3 linked regions of the Alligator mississippiensis genome follow. The protein of the gene in region 1 interacts with the protein of each later gene in a pairwise test. Links are inferred from orthologs where the notes say so. Each region holds a gene or a part of one and is shown in the gene's direction. Other genes may lie near its edges.

Region 1 (8,027 bases):
CACCCCCACTGCCACTTTTCAGTGCGGGGATGCTGATACATGAGATACGATGGCGCTTTAGTGCCAGCCCTCCACACCCACCTGCAGAGCACATGTAAAAGTGCCCAAGAAGACTGAGGGAGGATTTAAGTAGCCTTGAACTACCTGATGGGGGTTCCAAAAAGGAAGGAGCTAAACTGTTCTCACTGGTGGCAGATGACTGAACAAGGAGCAATGGTCTCAAGTTGCAGCAAGGGAAGTTTAGCTTAGATATTAGGAAATTCTTTCTTGCTAGGAGAGTAGCAAAAGCACTGGAACAGGTTACCTAGAGAGGTTGTGGAATCTCCATCCTTGGAGGTTTTTAAGACCCAGCTAGACAAAGCCTTGGCTGGTATGATCTAGCTGGGGACGGTCCTATTTTGAGCAGGAGGTTGGACTAGATCCACAGCAGGGACTGTCTTTTCATCCATCTTTGTATGGTTCCCAGCACAATGGGCTCCTGCTTGTGCTCAGGGCTCGTAGATCTTATGGAAAGACAAATAACAGCATTAATAAAGATATGTAACACTAACAGAGACAGTGATAACAGCATAAATGGAAGCTTTTTTAAAGAAGTAGAACCAGGAAATTAAGATGGCTCTTAAATGGCCAACCAGACTGCATGTTCAAATCTGCAAGGGAAATCTGAGAAAAGAACTAAATACTTCATGCAAAATTTGGACAGTTGAGAATAATCCTCAAATAAAATTTAATTTGTGGCATGGGACAAAGGTGCTCAACCTCCTGCCCCCGCAGGCTGGATGAGTGGCTTGGAGCTGGCTCACAAGCCAATTCCCACAGGCAGGTTTGGTTTGGGGGCTGGATCCAGCATAGGGGTAGTGTACAGGGTCTGTGGGTACAATATAGCATGCTGGTCTTGCCCCATGCATTGGATCCAGCCATAAAGTGACTTCACACACCAGGGTGATCCAGCACACAGGGCCATGTCATCTGGCCCATGGGGTTCCCCACAGGTCTGGAAATGTTGTGGTGGCAGCAATGGCTGTCCTCAGGTGACAGCTGCTTGAGCTGCGCAGTGTGGATTTATGCTGCTGCTGTGGTGAAAAAACAGGCAGCAGGGCAGGCTCCCTGAGGTACCTCCCTCAACCCCTGGGTGCAGGGCTGTGGCTCCCATGGCAAAGCCTCCTGGGGAAAGGGCATCCATTCCACTCCTGTCCCCCAGATACACTACTGGCAGGAGAGCTGTGTCTACCCTGCTCCTAGGGCCACAGACTCATAGGGAGATGGGGCATACTGGCACCCTGAGTTAGTGCCCCTCTTACCCTACCCTAGTTGCATTAGTGTTGCTACTGTCACCCAATTTCCAGGAGCCCCACAAGCTGGATGACTCCAACCTGTGGGCTGGATTAGGCCCACAGACTGCACCAATGCCATAGGAAACTTTGGCTTTTCCTTGCTTGAAACAAAATTCTGGAGCACAAACCATCCAAAATAGAGAGAACAAAGTAACTGCTTTATAAATGCCTGAAGTGGAAACAAGAAGTAGTGGGGGTCTTACCTCTGACTAAAATCAGTGCTGGCAGGAGCTTTTACCTGACCATGAAGAAAGAAAATGCAGATGGACTTTTACTTGCTTTTGCGGGGGAGGAGGGGGGGTGTTGTTGTTTTGGAAACAGCATTGCCCAGGAATATGTCCAAAACAAAACAAGAAGGGGGATGGCATTTCTAAGTGTGATCGATTATGCCAAATATAGCTTCAGGGAATGATGGCATGGGGCTTTTGACACGGGGCTTCCCCAGGATGGGCATGCAAGTGCTGCAAGATATTGGCCGGTTGATGAATTTATTTGTATGGAACTCTAGCGTCCGTGGGAAGGTATTCTTGGGTGAATCTGCAGCCTTTTCAATCAAGTCTAAGATGAGTCCATCACTAGGGGCTGAAGCTCACTTTTATGAGCTGAGTCACTGCTACCAGAAATGGCCTTTTAGGTAACAATTTAAATTCTCAGGACTGGAATTTTTTAAAGGAATTTTCAATGATTGTCCAGTAGCACATTTATATTATAAGACTTTTTAATAGAGAAGCATTACTGAACCTAACTATATGAAGCCACATGGATTGTGCTCAGTCTTTGATTAATAATGAACCTAATTTGCCAAAACAGCTGCTACATGTCCCTGGATATAGATAGTCACTTGGTCACATTCACACAAGTGAAGAAGGCAGTTAAGCAGTCTTTATGCTAGGACACACAGGGATCCACTTGAACCTCAGTGCAAGGCCTGTCCAAAACCTACATATTTCATCAAGTTTATGTGATTAAAACACACCAGTTTGTGTAGCCAATGGCACACAAAGGGATTATGTGATTGGCATCACTTCTGGCCACCTTCAGCTCTTTGACTCCAATTACCAGACAGATTTACATCTGCATTGCCTGGGGGTTACCTTTGGCATGAGTCTAAAATGACGTTTAAACTCTGGCTTGCAGATCCATAGTAAGACACTTGATCCACTCTGTCACTGTGCTTCAGCTCTCAGTGCACCATATCATAATTTTTTTTTTGATTTGGAACTGATGTGCTTCTGACAGATTGCTTGCAAGATGCTTATGTAACATGAACAACCTGCTTGGAAGCACTAGAAATGTGGACTGACAGAAGCACTTCAGGTTGGAACAGACCACAATACTCCCAGTGATCACTTGAGATTAAAATCTTTGTGCCACAGATCATCAAAACTCAGATGCCAGTGTTGAGAACCATCCGTATTTGGATCAGGATGGAGCTATTAAGACCCTCAGGCTAGGGACAGAACTTAAACATAAACTGGTATAAGTGATTGGAAACTGGTTCAGATCTGTAGCGCAACACAAGTTTAGTGCACATAAACTGCTTTCAAAATGGCCAAAACTGGTTGAAGATAAACCTGGATGGGTGCAGTATCAAATTGAACTGATTTAGCTTAAATCAGTTTATTGAACTTCTGTCCCAGAGCTCCTCCAGGTTCAAGTTAACTCACAGTCCCCCAGCATCCCAGGAAGCTTTGCACCTCCCTGGGCAGCTAGGTTTGGCCCAAGCTGTTTGCCAAACAGGGAGCTGTGCTCTAGTGCCCCCCTGCCTGGCTTCTGGCCTGAGCCACTGCAGGTGTGTGTGGCTGCATTTCCAGAATCAAAAGTGAATGTCTGTTCACTTGCTTATCTGTTCAATCTACACAGCTTAGACTATCTGCAAAGCAGGGCCGTTGCTGGGGTGGGTGAATTGGTGCGCCCGCCCCAGGCCCCACAGAGCCGGACGGAGCAGCCGTGGCAAGTCTGTGCTGCCACCAGCTTCATGTCCAGCTGCTTGGCACCCCCCATCCCTGCCGAATCCGCCACTGGCTTCCTTGCATCTGTGGGCCCCACACAGCCTGATTTGCCTCGGCCCCCACGCTGCTCAGGTCATCTCTGCTGCAAAGATTGAATTGATTCAGCCTCAGGCTTTTTGACTGTCTGTATTTAACCTCAAAGTATCTCAGGGCAAATACTGCGGGATCACACAATATTCAGACTTATACTGAGAGGTGAAAAATGCTATGGACATATATAGAATATTCTAAGGCTATTACTGTAACACCACTCTAAGAGATTAATCAGTGTTTACTGTTCTTGGCTCACTGGGTGGGATTCATCACTGGGTAGGAAGTGCAGTCACCAGTTAATTAATACAAGTCACTAATACATGATGCAATACCAATAGCGCAGTTCTCTCTCTCCCCCTTTCAGGGAAATAGCAGCCTGGTTTGTTGCAATTCAAGAGGAGGCAACCTGCAGAGAGCAAGGGCCCCCATTTGGCAGGCGCGTGCACTTGCACTGGTGCTAAGAACCCCACACCTGAGCCCGGGCCTTCCCGGGTGCTGCGCTGCAAGCTAAACAGGTGTGGTCCAGGCTTGGGGGCTGGTCCCTAGCCCTGCAGGCTGGATGCATGGCATGGAGCTGGTTCACAAGCCAATTCCCACAGCCAGGCTCAGTTTGTGGGTTGGATCCAGCACACGGGTGGTGTGCAGGGTCTGCGGGTACACCACCTTGGTAGAAGTCCACCAGCTTGGTAGGTGGACCTTGGTAGAAGTCCCTTGGTAGATGTCCACCAGCTCCACCCAAGGGCAGGAGCTTTGCCAAGCAAGCCACCTGGTGCCAGCGCAGCTCTGGGGTCCCACCGTTGTCCCCCGCTCTCCTAACAAGGGCAGGAGGCGGGTGAAACTGGCCCATGGCCCTTTCTCCTGGAAGGCCGCGGGGCCTCAGCGCGGGGCTGACTGCGGGCTCTGCGCCGGCGCCCACCCCGAGGCACCCCGGGGGGCGGGTCTCCCAGGCCGCGCGGGGCCGCTGTGCGGGGCGGGGGCGGGGCGGGGCGGGCTGGGCCGCCGCAGCCCCGCGGGGGTTGCCATGGTTTCGCGGTCACATGCGCGCGAGGTCCCCCGCGGGGCGGGCGGGGCGGGATGCTCAGTCGGTGCCGGGGCCGCGGAGCGCGAGCAGCTGCTGCCGTCGCAGCTGGAGCCGGAGCCCGGAGCCGGTCCCGCAGCGCCGCCCCGCCCCGCCCCGCACCCCCTCGGGGCTCCCGGCATGAGCATCTCCATCCCGGCGGGGCTGACGGAGCTGCTGCAGGGCTTCACGGTGGAGGTGCTGCGCAGCCAGCCCGGCGACCTGCTGGACTTCGCGCTCCAGTACTTCGGGCGCCTCAAGGCGGAGGCGGAGGCGGCGGCCGAGAGCGGCCGCAAGGCGGGGGGGTCCCCGCCCGGCCATGCCCGCGCCGCCGGCCTCGCGCCCCGCCGCGGCCCCGCCGCCGCCGCCAGCGCCCGCGGCGTCAACTTCGCCGAGGAGCCCGTGCAGACCGACTCCGAGAGCGCCGACGACGAGGACGACTTCCCGGGTACGGTCGGGCCGGGGTCCCTGCTTCCCTCCGGCGGGCGGGCGGGCGGGCCGGGTCCCTGCTCTGGGCCTGCCGCAGCCCGGCGGGGACCGGGGGCCAAACCTACCGGTCTGGGATCTCCACCACTGCCTGCACCCCAGGGTGCCCCGAGCACCCCTCTGCCTGGTACCCTGTACCCAGGGGCAGGCAGCCCCCGGCACAGGGGCCCACAAAGGCATTTTGCTTCTGGGGGCTGGGGCTGCGCTGCCACTACAAGGACGGGACCCTTCGTGTCTCCCTTGCCACCTGCCCTTGGCGGGCCAGGATCTTGCAAAGGGAGGTAGGTGGTGGGTGTTTTTGGCACTCTGCTCCCTGCTATATACCTGGCGCTCCACCTCTAGCTATAGCCTTGTATACCTAGCGTTCCCCTGCTAGTTAAACCGGCACCGTTACTTCTGTCATATATGAACAGGCAGCAGCGGTGCATCCATTGGCTCTGGTGCTCTGTGGCTGCTGGACATAAGAACGGAGCATGTAAGAATTGCCGTCCGTTGGGTCAGGCCCCCTTCTCGGTGCCCTGTGTCACAGGGTGGCAGAGAGTGGATGCGGAAAGGGAGAGTGAATTGGGTAGGACCAGGGCTTTTTTTTTTTCTTTCTTTTGACCCCACTGTTCCTCTCTCACTTGCAGCCCTCTGGCATTAAAGGTCTAGGACTTACTGCATGTGCGCTTAAATTCATATTTCAGGGGTGTAGGTTGTAGCCATGTTGGGCTAAGGAGATGGGCAGACAAGGTTCTTTGGGTCACTCCAATATCTTTTATTAGACAAACTCAAATAGTTGAAACGATTCTTCTTAGCAAGCTTTCAGGCACTAACACCCTTCGTCAGGCTGAGGAAGCATCTGCAGATGGTCTGTGCTCCTTCTTCTTGGGTGGAGTGGTAAAACAGCCAGTACCTATGCAAGAAAGGCAGTTAGTGAAAATGTAAATTGAGGTGATGGGTAGGTGAGACACAGGTGGGGTGGAGGGGGAATGAATGTAGCTGTAGTCAAAGGATGAGACAGGAGAGGGAGAGGGAATGAGAATAGCTGGTAAAAAGTGGAGGGTTTACCTGGGGAGTTAGATGTTAGGCAGGTTATAATGTGTCATAAATCCAGTGTCTATATTTAGTCCATGATTTTTTTGTATCCATGAAGTGAAGTTCATAGGCTTGTCTATGAAAGGTATTTTGTAAATTCCCTTTGGGGATTAGAACTGAGAGATTGGAGAGAGACTGGTTGTCTTGTGAGAAATGTACCTCCACAGGTAATGTGCCCTTCCCACCTGTCTCTCACCTACTGACCACCTCAATTTCCATTTTCACTGACTGGCTTTCTTGAATACGTACTGGCCTCTGGATGCTTTACCACTCCACCCAGGAAGAACACAGATCATCTGCAGATGCTTCCTCAGCCTGACAAAGGGTGTTTGTGTCTGAAAGCTTGAAGAATTTTTCCAACTATTTGAGTCGATCTAATAAAATATATCCCAAAGAACCTTGTCTGCCTTAAATTCATATGGGATTTTACATACACACGCTCCTAGGTAATTCCATGAGGTAGACAGCAAGAGGTTAATATATTTTTCAAGTCCTGCTTAAATCACCTGCACAAGGGCCCAAGGCATGAGCATAGCTGTGAGGACAGCAAAAGAAGGCTGCAGGACCTCACCTGATTTCAGGCTCAGACTTATCTGTTCACAGCTCAAAATGTATTCTTTTTGTATGGCTGACAGGATTTATTGGGGACAGAGCATCTCTGTATTAAGGGGACAAGGCATAGCTGCCTTTGAAAAGGTGCAGAGCTCTCTGTTTAGGTAATGGGAACCTGAAAAGCAAAGGCTGATTGGTAAGTGGGGTTGAAGACTAAGGGAAACATTTTCATCATTCTGGATTTTCTGAGAACAGCTTGAACTTGCACTACGTTATTAGCTCACTGGAGCATTTCGCCCTTCCAGATCAAGTTCCAGCTGTATCTCATAGCAATGTCCAAAAGCTTGCAGTTTGCTAGCTGAACTGCACAAGCTTTTATATATGTGAAATATTTTAAGTAATGCCTTATATGCATTTTTTTTCCAAGAAAGCCAGATATTTAAAAAGCTCAACAGAACAAATTTAGCTTACTTAAATAACACTCATAACTTCCCAGTGAAATTTAGATGCAACTTGCTTATGATATTAAACATCCTTTCAATCTATACTTTGCAGCTAGAAGCTACTTGGCATATGTAATTAAGAAGCGTTTGTAGTTATCAGTCACATACTGCAGATTTACATGATGGTTTTGAACTCTTTTGAAACTGATGACATCATCTTTGAGGTTGGCATAAATTCCTAAACCATTAGTGAACTTGGAAGCTGGCACAGAATGATAATGAAGAAGAACTGAAATAATATCATCATTCTTTGATACTGAACATAGCTTGTATCAAACTTATAATGTAGTCGGCTGTTTAATCAGTGGTAAACAGACTGCAGGCATGTTACATTTACAGTGTGGCAAATAGAGCAAAGTAGCATGAATTTATTGGAATATGTGTGTTATGTGTGAATGTTTTCAGGTTGTTTTAAGAAGCCTTCTAAGAATTATAGTGAATATTTGCAATCAAGACTTTATTCATGGTCACTGTTTTGTAATCTTAAAAAAATCAACACAACTATAAATAGTTTCACATATAAAAAAGTCAAACAAATCTTTTAGTCAGCTTATTAATTATATGTAGAATAACTCTAGAAAGCAAAATGTGTGTGAAATGTGGGAGTCTTTTTAAAGTTTTATTGTGTTAAGGCTTGTAATGTGCATCAGTCAGAATAATGAATAGTTAATTAAGTAGCACAACATGTAAACATTTTTGGAACTGTTCATAGCTAGGTCTGTTCATAACTCAGTTCTAAGAAACAGTTAGTAGTTGGCTAGGTGTGATTTTTATATTTAGGATAGGTGTTTGACCCTTTCAGATAACACACTTGTGTCTACTCACTCGCTACTGATATTGGATCTATAGGGGTATTCATATTTAAATTATTTATTTATAGGCTTAAGCATCACTACCTTAAGAATTACTTAATTCTGAACATTTTTACTTTCTGTAAACTGCCCCATAGATTACTAGCATGGAAAATTCCGGG
Region 2 (8,148 bases), on another chromosome or scaffold:
AAATACATAAAGTTTAAAAAACACAACCAACTAGGCAAAAATAGTCAAAAGAAATTGTTTTATTAGTCTGGTAGTCATTATAGGTAAATGTGCATCTCTATTCAGCTTTGTAAAACAAAATCTAGAATCCTTGAGCATCTTAACAGTGCAGCCAATACTTCACTGTCAGCCATTTCCACACCTGAATTAATATTACCACACCTGAGATCAGATTTTTAGCTAGAGCTAAAAACAGACTTCAGGGCTGTGAAAGAGAAGAGAGATATTACTAGGAACAGCTAACAAACAGCAAAATAGCTTGATCAATGGACTATCAACGCCATTAAAAAGGAGCAAAGGTCATTAACACTTGTGGAATGAAGAGAGATTAGCAGGGATCAGATAGATTATAATGAGTCATGAAGTCAATTGACTCCATCAGGATTGCCGAAATAGAAATGTTGCTGCACCTCTTGGGTAGTTGATTTTACATGTTGGGTGAAACAGGAATCAAAGGGAAGTGCAACTGCATCACTGCACTCCCTGGATCCCTGCAGTCCCTGTGTGTTGCAGAGCAGTTCCCATTAAATCTCATAATCCTCCCATGTAATGTAGAATCACTATCTCCCTTTTTCCTCAAAAAAGCAACAAATAATGCAGCTACCTTTAGGTGAAGGATAATGCTTCCTTTACTACGGACAGACTCCATCATTTTTTATTAATTTCACAGTACTCTTAAATATTTTAATTGGTGGATGGTGATCTCTGAAAGTGAGTAGGCTAAACTGAACTGAGATGTTCAACCCAGCACACAGGAGTGGAAAAAGCTTCCAATATCACTAACTAAACAGAAAAATGCTTATATCTGCTGAAAGCCACTACTCTGAAGACTTTAACTGTATTTTAGTGACATTTAAAACTTCACTCATTTTAACTGTTCTTCAGCTTAAAGTTATGAACTTCTTTACAAGCCATTGGTGGGTCATTTGTTAAGGTTACATATATTATCTAATCCCTGGCCCCAGGAGCAGTAGATTGGAATAGAAGGATGACAAAATCTGCCATTCAGCCCACATCCCTGCCATTGCTTTGAAAAAATGAAAACTGTTAGGTAAGAATGATGTAAACAGGTGACTTTTCCTAGGACAGATTCTCTCTCTCTGTCTCTCTTTCTATCATATCCAAACAGGATGTTGGGGACCATGGTCTTCCACAAATCTCTTGTCTTTGATGCATACAGAATTGCCAGTGTCTATACATTCATCCATTTAGATCAGTGGTCTCTAATCTTAACAGGTCGGAGATCACTTTTGGAATTAAAAGGAACGGAAGAGCTACCGCCCCCCTCCTCCCCCCCTGCCCAGCAGGTAAGTCTGTGGGGAAGGGCTGGGCGGGGTGGGGGACGGTGCCACAAACAGCTCCTGGGGGGTGCAGGGAGAGGGGGCACACAGCCCAGGAGGGCGGGGGGGGACATGCCCCCAGATCTGCATGCCAGGTGGGGCGGGGTGGGGCGGGGTGGGATGGGGCAGGCAGGCTGGGGCCAGGGCAGTGGCAGCGTTGGGCTGTTCCTGACCAGGCTGTGCCCAGGCTAGGTGGCTGCGGCAGCAGCGCTGGAAGCAGGGTCACATGGAATCCGTACCCACCCCAACCCCTGCTCCCAGCACTGCTGTCAAGCGCAGCATGGGCTAGGCCTGAAGGGAACAGCTTGGTGCAGCCTTCCAGCCCACAGCTGCAGCTCACCCTTCCCCATGCCTGCCAGCCCCCAGCCCCCAAATCCTTGGGGGGAGGAAGGGGCAAGGGGAGGGAAAGGCTGTGCCAGGCTGTTCCTGCTGGGCCTGGCCTACGCTGTGCTTGGCGGTGATGCTGGGAGCAGGGGTTGGAGGGAGACTATGGCCCACCCTTGGGTCCCCCTCCCTGTGCCGCAGCTACCCAGCCTGGGAGCAGCCTGGCCAGGAACAGCCCGGTGCTGCAACTGCCCTGGCCACAGCCTGCTCTGCCCTGCCCTGCATGCAGATCCAGGAACATGCATCCCCCAATGCCCGCCCAGGCTGCGTGCCCTCCCCCCGCACCCCTTTGCAGCCCTGAGCGAGCCTGGCTGCAGCTGTGGGCTGGGCATTGTGCTCTGAGGCCTGCTGCACGTGCCCCCCCGGGTCACTGCCCCTTCCCCCCCCTATTGACTGAATTGCCAGGCTTGTGGGATGTGGCATGCGCATGCACACACGTGCTCAGCCCCCACAGCCCAGGTCAACTTCAAGAGGCTCTGGGATCCGCCAGTCAATCCCGATCGACCAGTTGGTGACCACTGATTTAGACAAACTCTTGACATAAGTCAACCTCTGTCTTCCATGATCTCTCCTTCTTTCAGTCTTTCCAGTTATGACCAAACTTCCAATTTCCTCTTTCCTCATAACATGGTTCCTCTTTCATCATAATTCCAACTCTTTCTGATGTTAATCGGCAGGTTCCTCCTGCAGCCTGCTCTTAACGAAATATCTTAATTTGAAGTGTGACTTGTCCAATATACCTTCAAGATGTGCTTTAAGAACCACATCTTACTTGCTTCAATTCTCTTTTCCATACCTGATGATATTGTCCAGCATTCTGATGCATACATGAGGACTAGTATAACACAGCAGTCCAAAACTCTTAACCTCATCCCCATAGAAATTTTACTATTTGTCAATATCTTTTTCATTTTCAGAAATATGCCTTTTGCCATCACTATTCTCTGTGATCTAAGGATAGATACACCCAATAGGTGTCCATTGATTAGGACGGTGGTTTTCAACCTGTGGTCCATGGACCCCTCAGGTCCATAGACTATGTCTAGGGGGTCTGTGAAAGATAACTATGATCAATCAAAATTATGTGAAAATTCAAAACTGTTTAGGAGTCCGCAAATGAAAAAAAAACGTTGAAAACCACTAGACTAGGATTTAAAGGGGGGGGGGAGGAGCTGGACAATATTAGGCAATACGGGTGATTAACTCAAATTTAAAAAAATCTAGTGTAGACAAACATTTATTGGGATGTAAAGGTGGGGATGGATCTCTTCATCCCCCAATTCCCATTGACACCACAGTATAGCAACTGTAAGCACTTCCTTGCAGACATCCAGAAGACATTGGATCTACAAGCAGTCATAGAAATCAGACAAAATTAGGGTTGGAAGGGACCTCGGGAGGTTTCTAGTCCAACCCTCTGCTCAAAGCAAGACCATCCCCAACTAGGTCATCCCAGCCAAGGCTTTGTCTAACTAGGTCTTAACCTCCAAGGATGGCTATTCCACCACATCTTTAGGTAACCTGTTCCAGTGCTTCATTACCCTCCTAGTGGAAATGTTTTTCCTAATATCTAACCTAAATCTCCTTTGCTGCAACTTGAGACCATTGCTCCTTGTTCTGTCATCTGTCACCATGAGAACAATGGGCTGCAGCAGTTTCTAGACAATGAGTATTGACAGAGAGGACAGTCCAGTGGTATCTTTTATGTGGATAGATCCCATATTATTCTTATCTGTACCAGAAAAAAACAATTAGGAAAAATTGTTCCTAAATGAGAATGAAAATAAGGATTTTTTCTTTTTAAAGAGGTCATTATGAAGGTGCCAGATCTCCAAAAACCACTTAAACAGTGCCTTAAACGTTCATTCCCCCAAAACCACCATGCCATTGTTCAAGACTATCTAATTGTATATGTGGAGTTGAGGCTTTTTGACGACTTTTAAACAGATACGCTATTGCAAGCTTAAGTTGAACCTAGCAGCTGCTGGCACAAGATGCTTTGTACAATGTTTCAGCTTTCATGTAGGCAAAGGAATGTTTCATGGCACTGATCATTTAAACTCAAAGCCTGTCTTCATTTGCAGATGTCAGTATGAACATCGTGTGCCTCCCGAGGCTGGGGAGGCATGGCAACCTCCCGCAGACGGCAGTGACAGTGGCAGCAGTGGGGTTGTGGCGGCAGTGAGTCAGAAGCTCCTGCAGATGTGGGGGGACGGGCGGGGGTGGCAGTGGGTGCTGGCAGTGGCCAATTTCAGGGCTTGCACTGCCAATCTCAGGGGGTGCACATGCACCCGCATGCACCCCTGACATGTTGCCAATGGTTGTCAGCACTGCAATGTGGAGCTGAGGAGCTGATGCCCCATTCCCCAACTCACTGGGCAGGTGGGGAAAGGTACAGATGCTCTGCATCTTGCTTCTTTTCTGCCTTAGGGTGGCCATTGGTCCTGTTTTACTGTCAATTTTTTAAAACCTTTTGTCACCTGTCCATTTATGGATAAGGAATGAACAGCAAAAGGTCCTGTTTTTCAATGTGATGGAAATACATGTCTATCATCTGTCCTTGCAATTCTATTGGCTGTGCCAAGAGGTACAGCACTGCACAGCCAGGAAAGGCAGGAAGTGGTCTTTTTGTAGTGGCCCGCCCCCTTGCTGCTAATTGGCTAAGGGCTCCACTGGCCCCACCTCTCAGTGTTGAGGCTGTGGCAGCCCTGCCCCTCACTGCTAATTGGCCAAGGGTGGGGTACAGAAAGTGGTTGCCTCCCCCCTCACCGAAGGGATATTACCTAGTCTAGGGATGGGCCAGTGCCCCTCTATTCTGAGACCTGTGTGGTGTCCGTAGGAGCCTGAGTTTCACACCAAGGGGCTTATGCACATAACTCCCTATGTTTTCCAGTGGTGATTTCATACAGTCACCTGTGTGGTCCTGGGTGTCCTACCCCTTTAAGCTTGACTTACTAAAAATTGTTCCAGGGTTTCTCTTTTCAAAGATAAAATGACTGCCAAGAACACACTGCCAGAGACACTACAACAGCCCTCTAACACCTTCAACCGCCCGCCCCAAGACAGTCCCTCAGCCCCTCCCCTGGGCCACAACCCACGTGCGCCCTAGCTCGCAGCAACCCTGGGCCCGTGGCCCCGCCCACCCCAGCGTGCGCCTGCGCAGTGGCCTACCTGAGCCGGCACCCAGCGCTGTCCGCCCCGCCCACGCCGCGCCTGCGCAGCAGCGAGGCAGTGAGGGGGCGTGGTGCTCTCTGCAGAGGGTGACGTCACCCCTGCCCGCCCCGCGCGCGGGGGGGGGCCGGGCTGGCCGGCTGCGGGCGCCGCCATGGCTGCCATATTGGGGAGGAAGTGAGCGCGGGAGGCGGCGGCGGCCTGAGGTGCCCTCCCTTGTTCTCTCGCCTGGGCGCGGCGCGGAGGGGCCGGCGGCGGCTGGCGGAGCCCGGAGCGGGCGGCGCGGGGCTGAGCGCAGCGGGAGCGGCCGGCGGCGGCGGCGCGGGGCTGAGGGAAGATGGCGGACCCGGCGGAGTGCAACATCAAAGTGATGTGTCGCTTCAGGCCCCTCAACGACTCGGAGGTGGTGCGCGGCGACAAGTACATCGCCAAGTTCCAGAGCGAGGACACCGTCATCATCGCCGTGAGCGCTGGGCGCGCCGGGGGCTCCGGGCCGGGCCCGGGGAAGGGCTTCTGGCACTTTGGGGGTTGGGCGACAGAAACCCGGGTGGGGTCTGGCTCGCCGCCGCCTTCTGCCCCCTGCACGGCAGCCCGGGTCGGCAAATGCAGCGGGGTAGAAATCCTCGGGGGCGGGGTGGGGCGGCGGCTTTGAGCCCGTCCGCAGGGGGCGCACTGTGTGAGGGGGCTGCGAAAGATGACTGCGCTCAATCAGAAGTGTGCAAATATAAATGCCCGCACTTACCCTGCCAAGGGGCTGCTCCACTCGACATTTTTTAGGGGTCAGCAAATGAAAAAAGTTTGAAAGCCGCTGGAAGAGAAGCCGGTGCTGCCCGAATTATCGCATGAAAGCTCAGCTCTAGGGTTAATTTGCAGTAACTGTCTCCTCAGGTTTGGCTGCCCGTGTTTGTGGGTAAAGTGAAAACTTTTAATGTTTGTGTCTCATCTGTGCACCTTCGCCTTCAAGTGAATGTCTAGAGTGAGGCTAACGCGGGGTGGGGGGGCCGGCACCTCTCTAGGGAGGGGTGTTGCTTGGAGAGCATTTGTCTAGATTGCAGCTATGGTGCGCTTCCATCTTGAATCTGTGCAAGCCAAACACAGCTTTTCTCCTTGCATCTGGGCGTGCAAGTAGGACAAATGAATAACAGTAGATGGAGCTTGGAGACAAACCTTATGCTCTATGCCTCCCTAACAGAGCTCTGCTCTTATGCCTAAATCCAATGTAAAATGAATGGGTTGTTAATGTAATGTAGAACTAGGTCAATAGTGATTAAGCTTCTGAAAAATCAACAAATGCTTGTGAACTGAGCTGACTTTTTTTTTTGTTCTCTTCCGGTTGGCAGGCTTGTACCTCAAGCTGCATTAGTCCTCACCGATGCCTGGTCCACAGAGTTGGGCTGTATCGCAGGAGATTGTTGGGGTAGTGACCAAAATAGCAAACTTTCATTTTCATAACTGGGGCAAATTCAAACGCTTTCATATATGAGTATTCAGTAACAGGGGCATTATGAGTCCCATATGAAATTAAAAACTGCAAAGTTACTCCTAGAATTCTGGGTGATACTTTGTTCCCTCTATGCCGCCTACTGTTACTACCTTGTAGGCCAATGTGTAATTATTTCTAATTGGTCAAAGTCTTATATTTGAAATAGCAAAACTGAGGTAATTGGATTTTAAGAAACAGTTCCTCCCCTTGTCACTTAGGTTGAGTTAGGATCTTCTGTAGTGTGTAGTACAGCAAATTCACTTTGTCAGATGTTGTGAAAGGACCATGTAGGGCTTGAAATTGATGACTGGTTTGACCCCCCCCCAAATATGCACTGTAAAAACTTTTTAAAATTAAAAGTGTTACTTTGTAGGCCAGATCTAAACCTCCACTGGTCTCAAGTTGAAGACTTGGTATTTTTGGCCTTTGACCAAGGTCAAATCATTGCTAAACGGAGGAATATGGCAGGATTTGAAGTCCTTCTCCTCAGTATTCCAGCTGTTGGGGCTAGAAATCCATGCTATGGATGGATATGTTGAGATTCCCATCTTTCGGTAGTAAAAATGTATAGTCCTAACATATGGCAATATTTGTGGTTAAAAATTAAATAGTTTAATTTCTAGTGTTGAAATGATACTGTTGCTGTGATGATCCTGGAAATATACAAGAGGCAAGAATTCTTGTGGACTAATGAATGGCATGGTTGAAATAGACATGGACAAGTTTCAGGTATTGTAGCATCCTTCCTCAGAGACCTGAGGTGATGGGAGAGAGACTGAGTGAAGAGAGAAACCTGAGGTTGTACTTGAAAGTTTATCTATGTCTATCCTAACCACTCACTTGATCCAATGAACAATAGCTGCAATCACCCCTAAGAATTCCTGCCTCTAATTCTCTGTGATTCTAATACTTTCATGTTTTCAGGATCATTCAGCTCTTCTTTTTAAAACATCAGTTTGTAAACCTTAACTAGCGAGTAGATCTTATCTGAGGACTTGGCCAACTAGGACAAAATACCTATTCCACCCGTGCCCATGAAACAACTTTCATAAGGCAGCTCTTCAGTAAACTATATTTTTCATAGAACTGATTTTTTTTCTTCCTTCCAGCTATTTCTTAGCTGGCTTCTTCCACCACTGTATGGGACAGTAGCTGCCTCTTGAGCTCTTCTCTTCACAACAAATCTGAGCCAGGTTTCTCTTCACTAGTGGAGAGGCTCCTCCCATTTTCCTCTCCCCCCCCCCCACCTTATTTGCAAATCTTTTGCCGTGCAATTCCAGCCATACCCCCAACTGCCTGTTCTAGCCCCTGGATTCTGCTCCCTGCGTGCCTGTGGACTCATTTCATCTGCCCAGCCAAGCACACCCTGTCTGTGGGGGGTCCCTGCTGGTCTCCATGGAGGCCCCGACTGCCTGCTTTGTCTGGAGCCCCTGCCAGTTGGTGCAGGGCAGAGAGGTCCAGGCTAGATAGGATCAGTTGTCCCCACCCTGTCGGCAACTTCCACTCCCCCTGCAACAGCTCAATAAAATTCCTAAAATGGCCCTCCAGACAAAATAATTGCCTACCCTTGGAATAAGGATTTGCCTGCCCCTTGCTTATCTAGCCACATTTGGTAGAGCTACCTCTAATGGTGGCCAGAAAGCAAAGACTAGGTATCAGTTAGGAGACAGGGTGTGGGAATAGAATGTATTAAGACTGACCTAATCACTCTGGTTTTGCATGCTGGTGACT
Region 3 (8,234 bases), on another chromosome or scaffold:
TCAAAGGCCCTTCATCAGGCTTTGGGAAAATTAAAGATGGTAAAAAGTCCCCATAGATAGGAAATAAACTTCATTTTTTCACAGAGGGAGCTGGAGATGAAAAAGCTATCCCTCTGGGTCCATGAGAGTATCTCTGAGTGTCTCTGAGCCGTTCAGAGTTGCTCTTTGTTGTGTAGATCAGTAGGATTCCTTCCCTGGAGGTGTCCGATGGCAAACAGGGAGATTTAAAACTATTTCTTGTTCTGTAATGAAATTTAAAATCCAAAATTGGCTAAAATTCAGCATCTTCCATGTTCCACTGATAGACAAGGTTCTTTGGGTGAATCTGATATCTTTTATTAGACCAACTTAAATAGCTGGAAAACAATTATTAAGCAAGCTTTCGGATTCAAAAACCCTTTGTCAGGCTGAGGAAGTTTGAGCAGTCGGTGTGTGCTCTTCCTGGATGGAATGAAAAGTGAGGAAGCCAGCGGCTGGGCTGCTCTGCATACAAGACAGGCAGTCAGTGAAAGTGTAGGTTGAGGAGTCAATGGGTGAGAGAGAGGTGGGGGGAGTGGGGAGAGAGAGAAGGGGGATGAATAGTGGGGAGATACCCAGGGAGTCAGCTGTCAGGCAGGTTATAATGTGTCATAAATCCACTGTCTATATTTAGTCCAGACAAGGTTCCTTGGGTGAATTTGATATCTTTTATTAGACCAACCCAAATGGTTGGAGAATAGTTATTAAGCAAGCTTTCGGGTTCAAAAACCCTTCGTCAGGCTAAGGACGCTGCAGCAGTTGCTGTGTGCTCTTCCTGGATGGAAATATTTAGTCCATGATTTTTAGTATCCGGGAGGTTGATGAAGTGGAGTTCATAGGCTCGTCTCTGGAAAGTGTTTTATAAGTTTCCTTTGAGGATCAGGACTCAGAGATTGGAGAGAGAGTGGTTTTCTAGATTTTTTCCAAGCTTTCAGGCTCAAAGGCCCTTCATGAGGCAGTGGGGACATTTTAAAGAGATTTCTTTTTTTTTGCAATTTCCTAGTTGGTCTAATAAAAGGTAGCATTTCTGAACCAAGAGTTCTAGCGTTTTGCATTTCTTTCTGTCTCAGACCAACCCAGCTACCAAATAGCCCCCCGGCCTATACATGACACATACCCATAATTCCTATGATACAGAAACGTGTGCTAGTGCAGAAGGCGCAGACCCATGCCGCTTCCCACCCGCAGTAAGGAAGCCGATCCCGATCACACACACCATCTGCTCTTGCACCAGGGAGAGGGGGGCGTCGGAACAAGCGATTACCAACAGCCCCAGGAGCAAAAATTGTGCTTCCGAAATCTCTTGATGTCGATTCCGCACGGGGCAGGACAAGCCGAGGCCAGCCCACCCCACGTGTCACTCACGACAGAAGCCCTTTTTAACTAGCGCGCTGCGCGGCCCAGCCTCCACAGGCGAAGCGAATTCTTTACCAGTGAGGGCGAGTCGCCAACTTTCGCGCAAGAAGATACGTCCAGTCCCTCTGAGAGCATCCCCGGGGTTAGCTCCCCCTCTAGCTCGTCCTTTCCCCGCAAATCTCTGAAAATGTGCACGCCGCTGCACAGTGTTAGATGCAAATCCGCGCGCGGCATGCTGGGATCGCAGCATGGGCGGGGCCAGGGCCCAGGAGCGCTCCCGCCCACGTGCGCGGCGAGGGGCAGTGACAGGAGAAAACCGCCTGGGTTTGAACGGCGGCAGCTTGGTCTGTAAGCAAAGGCTCTGCCCCAGCTGTGCAAGGGGAGACCACGCCCACCAGGCGCTGTCAAACCATAGCGCATGCGCAGCTCCTCCGCGTCGGCGGGGCGGGGTCTGGCCGGCGCCGGGGAAGTGCTTCCGGGGCGGGCAGCGCTCGCGACCCCGGAAGGACTCTCTGTCGCGAGGCAGAGCCGGCAGCGGCAGGTCGGACCGAGGCGGTCGCCCGCGGGCCATGGGGCGGTAGGCGGGAGCGGTGAGTGCGGGGCCGGGGCGGGGGAAGGGCGGCGGCACCGCGGCGTCCTGCCCCCGCCGCCAGGTGAGCGACCCCCCTCCCCTCCCCCACCGCCCGGCAGCCCCGGCCCCGCCGCCCGCTTCCCTCGGGGCTCGGCCCTGGGGCCGCTTTGCAGCCTCCCGCGCTCAGGGCGTCGCGATGGATCCTTTCCCGCCCTGACCCCGCCGCTCCCGGAGCCGAGCGGGGGGTGTCACCCGCGACGGCCGGGGCGGGGCCTGCCTCACCTGTGTCGAGCCCCGCGGGGGTGCGAGGGCCCCGTTGTGGGCCGGGCGCCAGGGACAGGGGGCGTGGCCTGTGTGGGGCGCAAGCTTTCAATGCGGGGAAATAAAATAAAATAAAACAAAGCAGATGTCTCTGCCGGCCGGACTCGTTTTGCCTAGACTCACCTGCTGTAATTATCCCGGGAGCCTCGCCGAAGGGATGGCTTTTCCCACGAGCGTCAGTGACACCTTGACGCTCGCCCGGTCCTCCTTTGGAGACCGGCGTTTCAGATGACGGTTTATCAAGGTTTAAAACCAGACCTCTGGTCCCTCCCCAGACTTTGCTCGGAGGGAGTATTTCCCAACCTTGTGATGTCGTTCAGCTGTGTCTGTCTGCTTTGAGGTTAAAATACGGTATCGTTTTTTTGAGAGTTGTTTTTAATTGTTTTCTTCATTTTAAATAAAATATATTCTCTCTTGATGAAGCATCAAGCGACAGCACCGTTTTTTACCGTTATGTTTTCAGCGCTCGTATTGAAGTCAAAGTAGGGTAGCGAATGTATTATATAATGTGTTCTCCTGACCTCATACTTATTAAACTGATTAAAAATGAATTTTTAATTCTGGAGTTGGGAGGACTAGTTGATCTTGTTTTTTGTTTCCCCCCCTCCCCCAAGTACGACTGGGTGGAATTAGCCTCTGTTCATGTTCAGTTCTTTCAACCAGGTAAGGATTCATATAGATGGCCATGGATATTATATCCGGTTCTTCCTTTTACAAGGTTTGCTGAAATATGTGCACATTTTATACATTAAGTTTTGACTCGGCACCCTTAAAGGCGACAGACTAAGCAGAAACATTTAGCATAGTTTGTAAATTTTGGTCTTCGATTATGATGAAAAAATAAGGTAAAAAAAGTTTTGTTTTTTTCCTGCTTAATTCTTAGCTGAAGATTTTGGTTTTTGCCTTCTCCGGTTACCGCAGTCTTGCAGAATTGATGTTGCAAGGTTGAAAGTAAGTGGGGGGGAGACGAATTTTCAGCCACTGTTTAGACATTTTTTAATATATATTGAAGTCCAATGCTTCATTACTGCTTAGTAGAAAGGAGATGCCCTCAGATCATGCACCCTGTCCCTTAACTTAATTTATAAGTTCTTGCAATGTAGCTCTCAAGATATACAGCATGTCCAAAGTGGTCCTCCAGAAAAACATGGAGAGGCTAAACTTGACTTGTAGTATTTCTAAGGTGAAAATCAGAGAAGAGAATCCCCTTGCCTTTTCTTTATCCATTGTAAAGAAGCAAAAATTTAAAGCCTATTAAAAGAAACAAAACCAAACAAACAAAACCTTTTCAGTCTTCTAAAGATGTCTTAATTCAATATATTCCCCACCTCCTAGAAATGGGAAGTGCAAGCCATCTGGTGAATGGATCAACAAGCTATTTTATTTCACTATACAGTAGACTCTTAACTTTATCTCCTAGTATAACACTAATAGCAGGACATAGCAAGTTACTATAGAGATCGCTCAGGTGCCAGTAGCATTAGTTCAGGCTGTGGCAAGAATGCTGCTATTGCACAAAATGGTGCTAGTCTTTACCCAAGTGCTCTCTTCTAGCCCAATACCAAGAAGTCCTGTGCTTAAAATCTGGCAAATGAATGAAGTTTAACATAAAATTCTGCTTTCCTTTCAAGACCCTGGGAAATATCTTGTTTGGCAATATATGCTAGGTTCAACAGTTGCTATTTAAATACTGGAGGGCAGGGAGTAGATTCAGGCTGACCTGGACAGATTGGATCAATGGGCAGAGAGAAATAGGATGCAATTTAATAAATATAAATGTAAGGTACTCCACCTGGGAAGGAGGAACCCCCAGCACACCTTTAGGTTGGGGAGTGTCCTTCTCAGCAGCTCAGAGGCAGAGAGGGATCTTGGAGTCATAATTGACTCCAGGATGAACACGAGCTGGCAGTGTAACGAGGCCATCAACAAGGCCAATCGCACCTTGTCGTGCATTAGCAGGTGCGTGACTAATAGAACAAAAGAGGTGATGCTCCCCCTCTATGCGGCACTGGTCAGACCGCAGTTGGAGTACTGTGTCCAGTTTTGGGCGCCGTACTTCAAGAGGGACGTGGGGAATCTCAAGAGGGTCCAGAGGAGGGCCACTCGCATGATTAGTGGCCGTTGTGATAGACCCTATGGGGGGAGGTTGAGAGAGCTGAATCTCTTCAGCCTTCACAAGAGATGGCTGAGGGGAGATCTTGTGGCTGCCTGTAAATTTATTAGGGGAGGTCAACAGGGAATAGGTGCCGCGCTGTTTACTAAGGTGCCCCAGGGAGTGACTAGGAATAACGGGTGTAAACTAGTTGAGAGTGGATTTAGGTTAGATATTAGGAAGAAATTTTTCACAGTAAGGGTGGCCAGGATCTGGAATGGGCTTCCAAGAGAGGTGGTGCTATCACCTAGCTTGGAGGTCTTCAAGAGGAGGCTAGATAGTCACCTGGCTGGGGTCATCTGACCTTGGTCCTCTTTCCTGCCAGGGGCAGGGGGTCAGACGCGATGATCCATTGTGGTCCCTTCTGACTCTACAATCTATGAATCTATAAATAAGTCTTTATATTAACTATCCAGAAAAAATAACATCAGATCCAGTTTAATAAGCACAGAATATACCCATTTGTATATTTTCTGCCAAAGCCTTTTTATGATATGGTACATGATTATATATAAAACTTTTGCTGTCGGACTGGGAGCTCTGAAAGAGGAGGAGGGAGACCAGGTTAATACTGTCTTTATTTACAGGAAGATTTTGGAAAATGGCCTCTCCATTCACTGGGCCAACAGCAGTTGCTGATGTAATTAAAGATCTAGACACTCAGATAGCTGTAAGTAAATTGCTTGGGCTTGCCATGACTTGGCATGCAGGAGTTGATGTGAGGACCTGCAGATCTGTATTTGGCTTACTTTCTGACAAACTTGGTCCCATGCAGAGGATGAAATCAGAGAAATTTCTTTGTACTGAGACCCACTTTAGGGTGTAAGATTTTTAAAGCATTTCAGAAAACATCATTTTACTCTCTCTCTGTTATGTCAGAATTTCTTCTCCACAGATGTGTCAATTAAGGCTAGCTGGTGGCTGAACCTGTATTAGAACCCTGGTTCTTGCCTTTTTGCTGGTCCTTGCCTTAAGCTCTGGATAAGCGTCTCACTTCAGAAATGACAGATAAGAGTTCCTAGAGTGCTGTGTGAGTTTGGAGAATACCCCAAGGCATGACAGTGGGGATTCTGCATCATTTTTAAAGGCTGCTAAAATGAAACTAGAAATTGTTGTCAGAGCTATGTGAAATGACTTGCACTTATGTTGACTTACAAAGACAACGTGGTTTGTAATGTTTGCAGCAATGCATGACTTAGTGTTGGAATGAAGCACTAAAATATCCATTTTCTAAGCATTTTTGTGTGAATTTTTTGTTTTTCTGTATGGGTTAATACAAACTAACAAGAGAATTTGCTTGTACAGATAAAAAACTGACTTTGTAAGTTAGGTGTAAAATGTGATTTCTGTTAATTTATATGAGCTTTCTGTTTTTCCTCTAAGTTATTATTTTTCAGCTTTTATTAGGTGTTGGTTTGAAAAGAGACTTTTTCCAAACAATATTCTTTTGCAGAAGATCTAAAAGACAAATTCAGTGTAACATAAGTAGTTTGGGGGTTTCAAATGATGGAACATAAACTACTTAAAAATGACATAACTGATATACAGAAAATATTTTATTAATCAATTCCATAGGCTGATACAGGAAACATCTGTGTGAATGGATGTACACTTAGACTTTCAGAGTTAATACAGCTACTTCTAAAGTCTCCAATTTCTCCTCTTAAATCACTTTACAGTATAATACCTATGCTTTCAAATAGTGTGAATGTACTTTTAAATGAATTTTCTAAATAACTACTCAAAATATCAGCTCTTACTGAGGATTGGTAGAGACTGAGATGATGGGTAGAGATAATAGAATAGTGAATGACTTGTAAGAGGCTTCAGATGCTCTTACTCTACATCAGACTCCATAGTAAATATTTGTAGTGTGTTAAAAAGAATTACTGCAGCGTTTCCTTAATGTTGTTGGTGAGAACTGAAGAACGCAAGTTTGCGTAGAGCCTCCTTGTGTCCAGAAAGAAGCCAAACTGACTCTGTAGTGATATGCACTATGTTAGGAAGAGTAGGTAGCTCAAAAGATTTACAACCTATTTATTCATCTAGTTGGCCGGTTCAAATCCAATCCAAAATTATTTTATGTCTAATGGGCTATAATGTAAATTAGTCCAAAAGCCTTATGGCTAAACTGGCAGGACCAGGCTTATTAAATAAGCTTATGAGAGTATTAATTTCTGGCATATTGTTAGTAACCCACTAAACTAAATGTTCTGGAGCTGAAAGACTTAATGTGGTATAAGAAATGCGCTAAATCAAAGGAACTTGGGGCAGTGGTGTCCTGTCAGCTTCAGAGATCTGACTTGAAGATTACTAGGTTCACAGGTTAAATTGAATTCTACGCTATCAAGCCAGATGTATCATGTTGTCATTGCAAACTGTTGCACTAGTGGACATAGCAGTTTGGGCAGAAGGGTGATTTAGGCTTCAGGTGGTCCAGAGTGCTACATGCCAGAGCCATGCTTTCATCCTGGGTGCCTAGTCTAGCTAGTGCTTCTGCATGAGGAACTTTACCTTAATCTGCTCTGCTCAATTACAGAGCTGCCTTAGATGTAAAGACAGAGATTTCTGTTAATAGTATTGTGATAGCATCTCAGAACTCCATTGTTAACCAGGTCCACAGTGCTGGGCACTGTACAGACCCTGCCCAGAAAAGCTTATGATCTTGCTACACTACTTTGTTTTGTTAAATCATCCCAGTTGTATACCTCAAGAGATGTTCTTTGATCTGTTCCTCTAAACTAGGGGTTCCCTAAATGTTACCTTTTCATGCAGCTGAGTAGTAGGCGGGGTCTTTTTGAAACAGTTCCCAGGATGTGGTCCATGAGCCCTTTTTGATGTGGTCTGCCACCCAGGACTTTTAAATGGCCCTTCAGAGGCAAAAATTTGGGAACCCCTGATCTAAAATGTTAACAGTAAAAGTCTGGAGACCTTAAAACTGTTTGGGGGTGGGGGTGGGGAAAGGTGCAGACATAAGAATGAGTGACAATCTGTATCCGGGATCTGTAGGACACAGCCATGGAGTGAATTAGTTGTGGGACTGGAAAAGGGAATGTGAAGATTTGGGAATATGCTCAGGCTGGGCAGTCCATCTTCAGGCATGTCACTGGTTCTTCTCTTGGTGTGCTTTGCATCCACCATGCTGTCTGTTAAAGTTTCACATTTCAAAATGCAAAGAAGTCTCTTTCTCTTCCCACTGACTTCCCTCCCTCTCAAAATGTTTTTAAAGGCACCTAGGGATAAGATACTGGCCCCTGCCTTTGGTTTATGGTTATAGTGCAGACTTTTGAAGGGATTGGTTAGAGAAGGAAATCCCATCTCTGAATTCACATTTAACCTACCATTAAGCTTGTGGTTTGTTTGTTTCTTTAGCTGATCGGTTTGGGTCCTCACAACCCCAAAAAGAAACAGGATCTTGATAAGCTGTATGATTTAAAAACTAAAGCCCAGCAGATTATGAACCAGTTTGGCCCATCTACCTTGATCAACTTATCCAACTTCTCCTCGATAAAGCCAGAACCTGCTAGCACTCCACCGCAGAGCTCCATGGCAAACAGTACTACTGTGGCCAAGATGCCTGGGACCCCTAGTGGAGGGGGACGCCTGAGTCCAGAAAGCAACCAGGTAATTTAATTTGAGGTTTGGGGAGGGGAAAAGGGTCATCTGTACAGGCTTTTCTGTAGCTTAATCTCTGTCTCTTCTTGAACAACTGGCAAATATTTTGTATGAAATCAGTAACTGTTACAGTTCATTTGATCTGTACAGATCCATTTCTTGCCTCCAAAGGACTTACCATCTGAATTGGTCTTTGTAAAG

The links.
Region 2: the proteins of PRKAR2B (region 1) and KIF5B interact in binary tests that used the Homo sapiens proteins (3 or more experiments, as listed by UniProt). The two-hybrid records come from large-scale screens. The link is inferred for Alligator mississippiensis from reciprocal best matches to the Homo sapiens genes PRKAR2B and KIF5B.
Region 3: the proteins of PRKAR2B (region 1) and TAF12 interact in binary tests that used the Homo sapiens proteins (3 or more experiments, as listed by UniProt). The two-hybrid records come from large-scale screens. The link is inferred for Alligator mississippiensis from reciprocal best matches to the Homo sapiens genes PRKAR2B and TAF12.

What each region holds. Positions count from the first base shown.
Region 1 is NC_081827.1:27,443,559-27,451,585, forward strand, and holds the start of PRKAR2B (cAMP-dependent protein kinase type II-beta regulatory subunit), read left to right. Parts: upstream 1-4,577; coding exon 4,578-4,884; intron 4,885-8,027. UniProt on the Homo sapiens protein: Regulatory subunit of the cAMP-dependent protein kinases involved in cAMP signaling in cells. Type II regulatory chains mediate membrane association by binding to anchoring proteins, including the MAP2 kinase.
Region 2 is NC_081828.1:192,942,769-192,950,916, reverse strand, and holds the start of KIF5B (kinesin-1 heavy chain), read left to right. Parts: upstream 1-5,065; 5' UTR 5,066-5,271; coding exon 5,272-5,397; intron 5,398-8,148. UniProt on the Homo sapiens protein: Microtubule-dependent motor required for normal distribution of mitochondria and lysosomes. Can induce formation of neurite-like membrane protrusions in non-neuronal cells in a ZFYVE27-dependent manner.
Region 3 is NC_081829.1:10,174,688-10,182,921, forward strand, and holds the start of TAF12 (transcription initiation factor TFIID subunit 12), read left to right. Parts: upstream 1-5,005; 5' UTR 5,006-5,019; coding exon 5,020-5,088; intron 5,089-7,790; coding exon 7,791-8,042; intron 8,043-8,234. UniProt on the Homo sapiens protein: The TFIID basal transcription factor complex plays a major role in the initiation of RNA polymerase II (Pol II)-dependent transcription.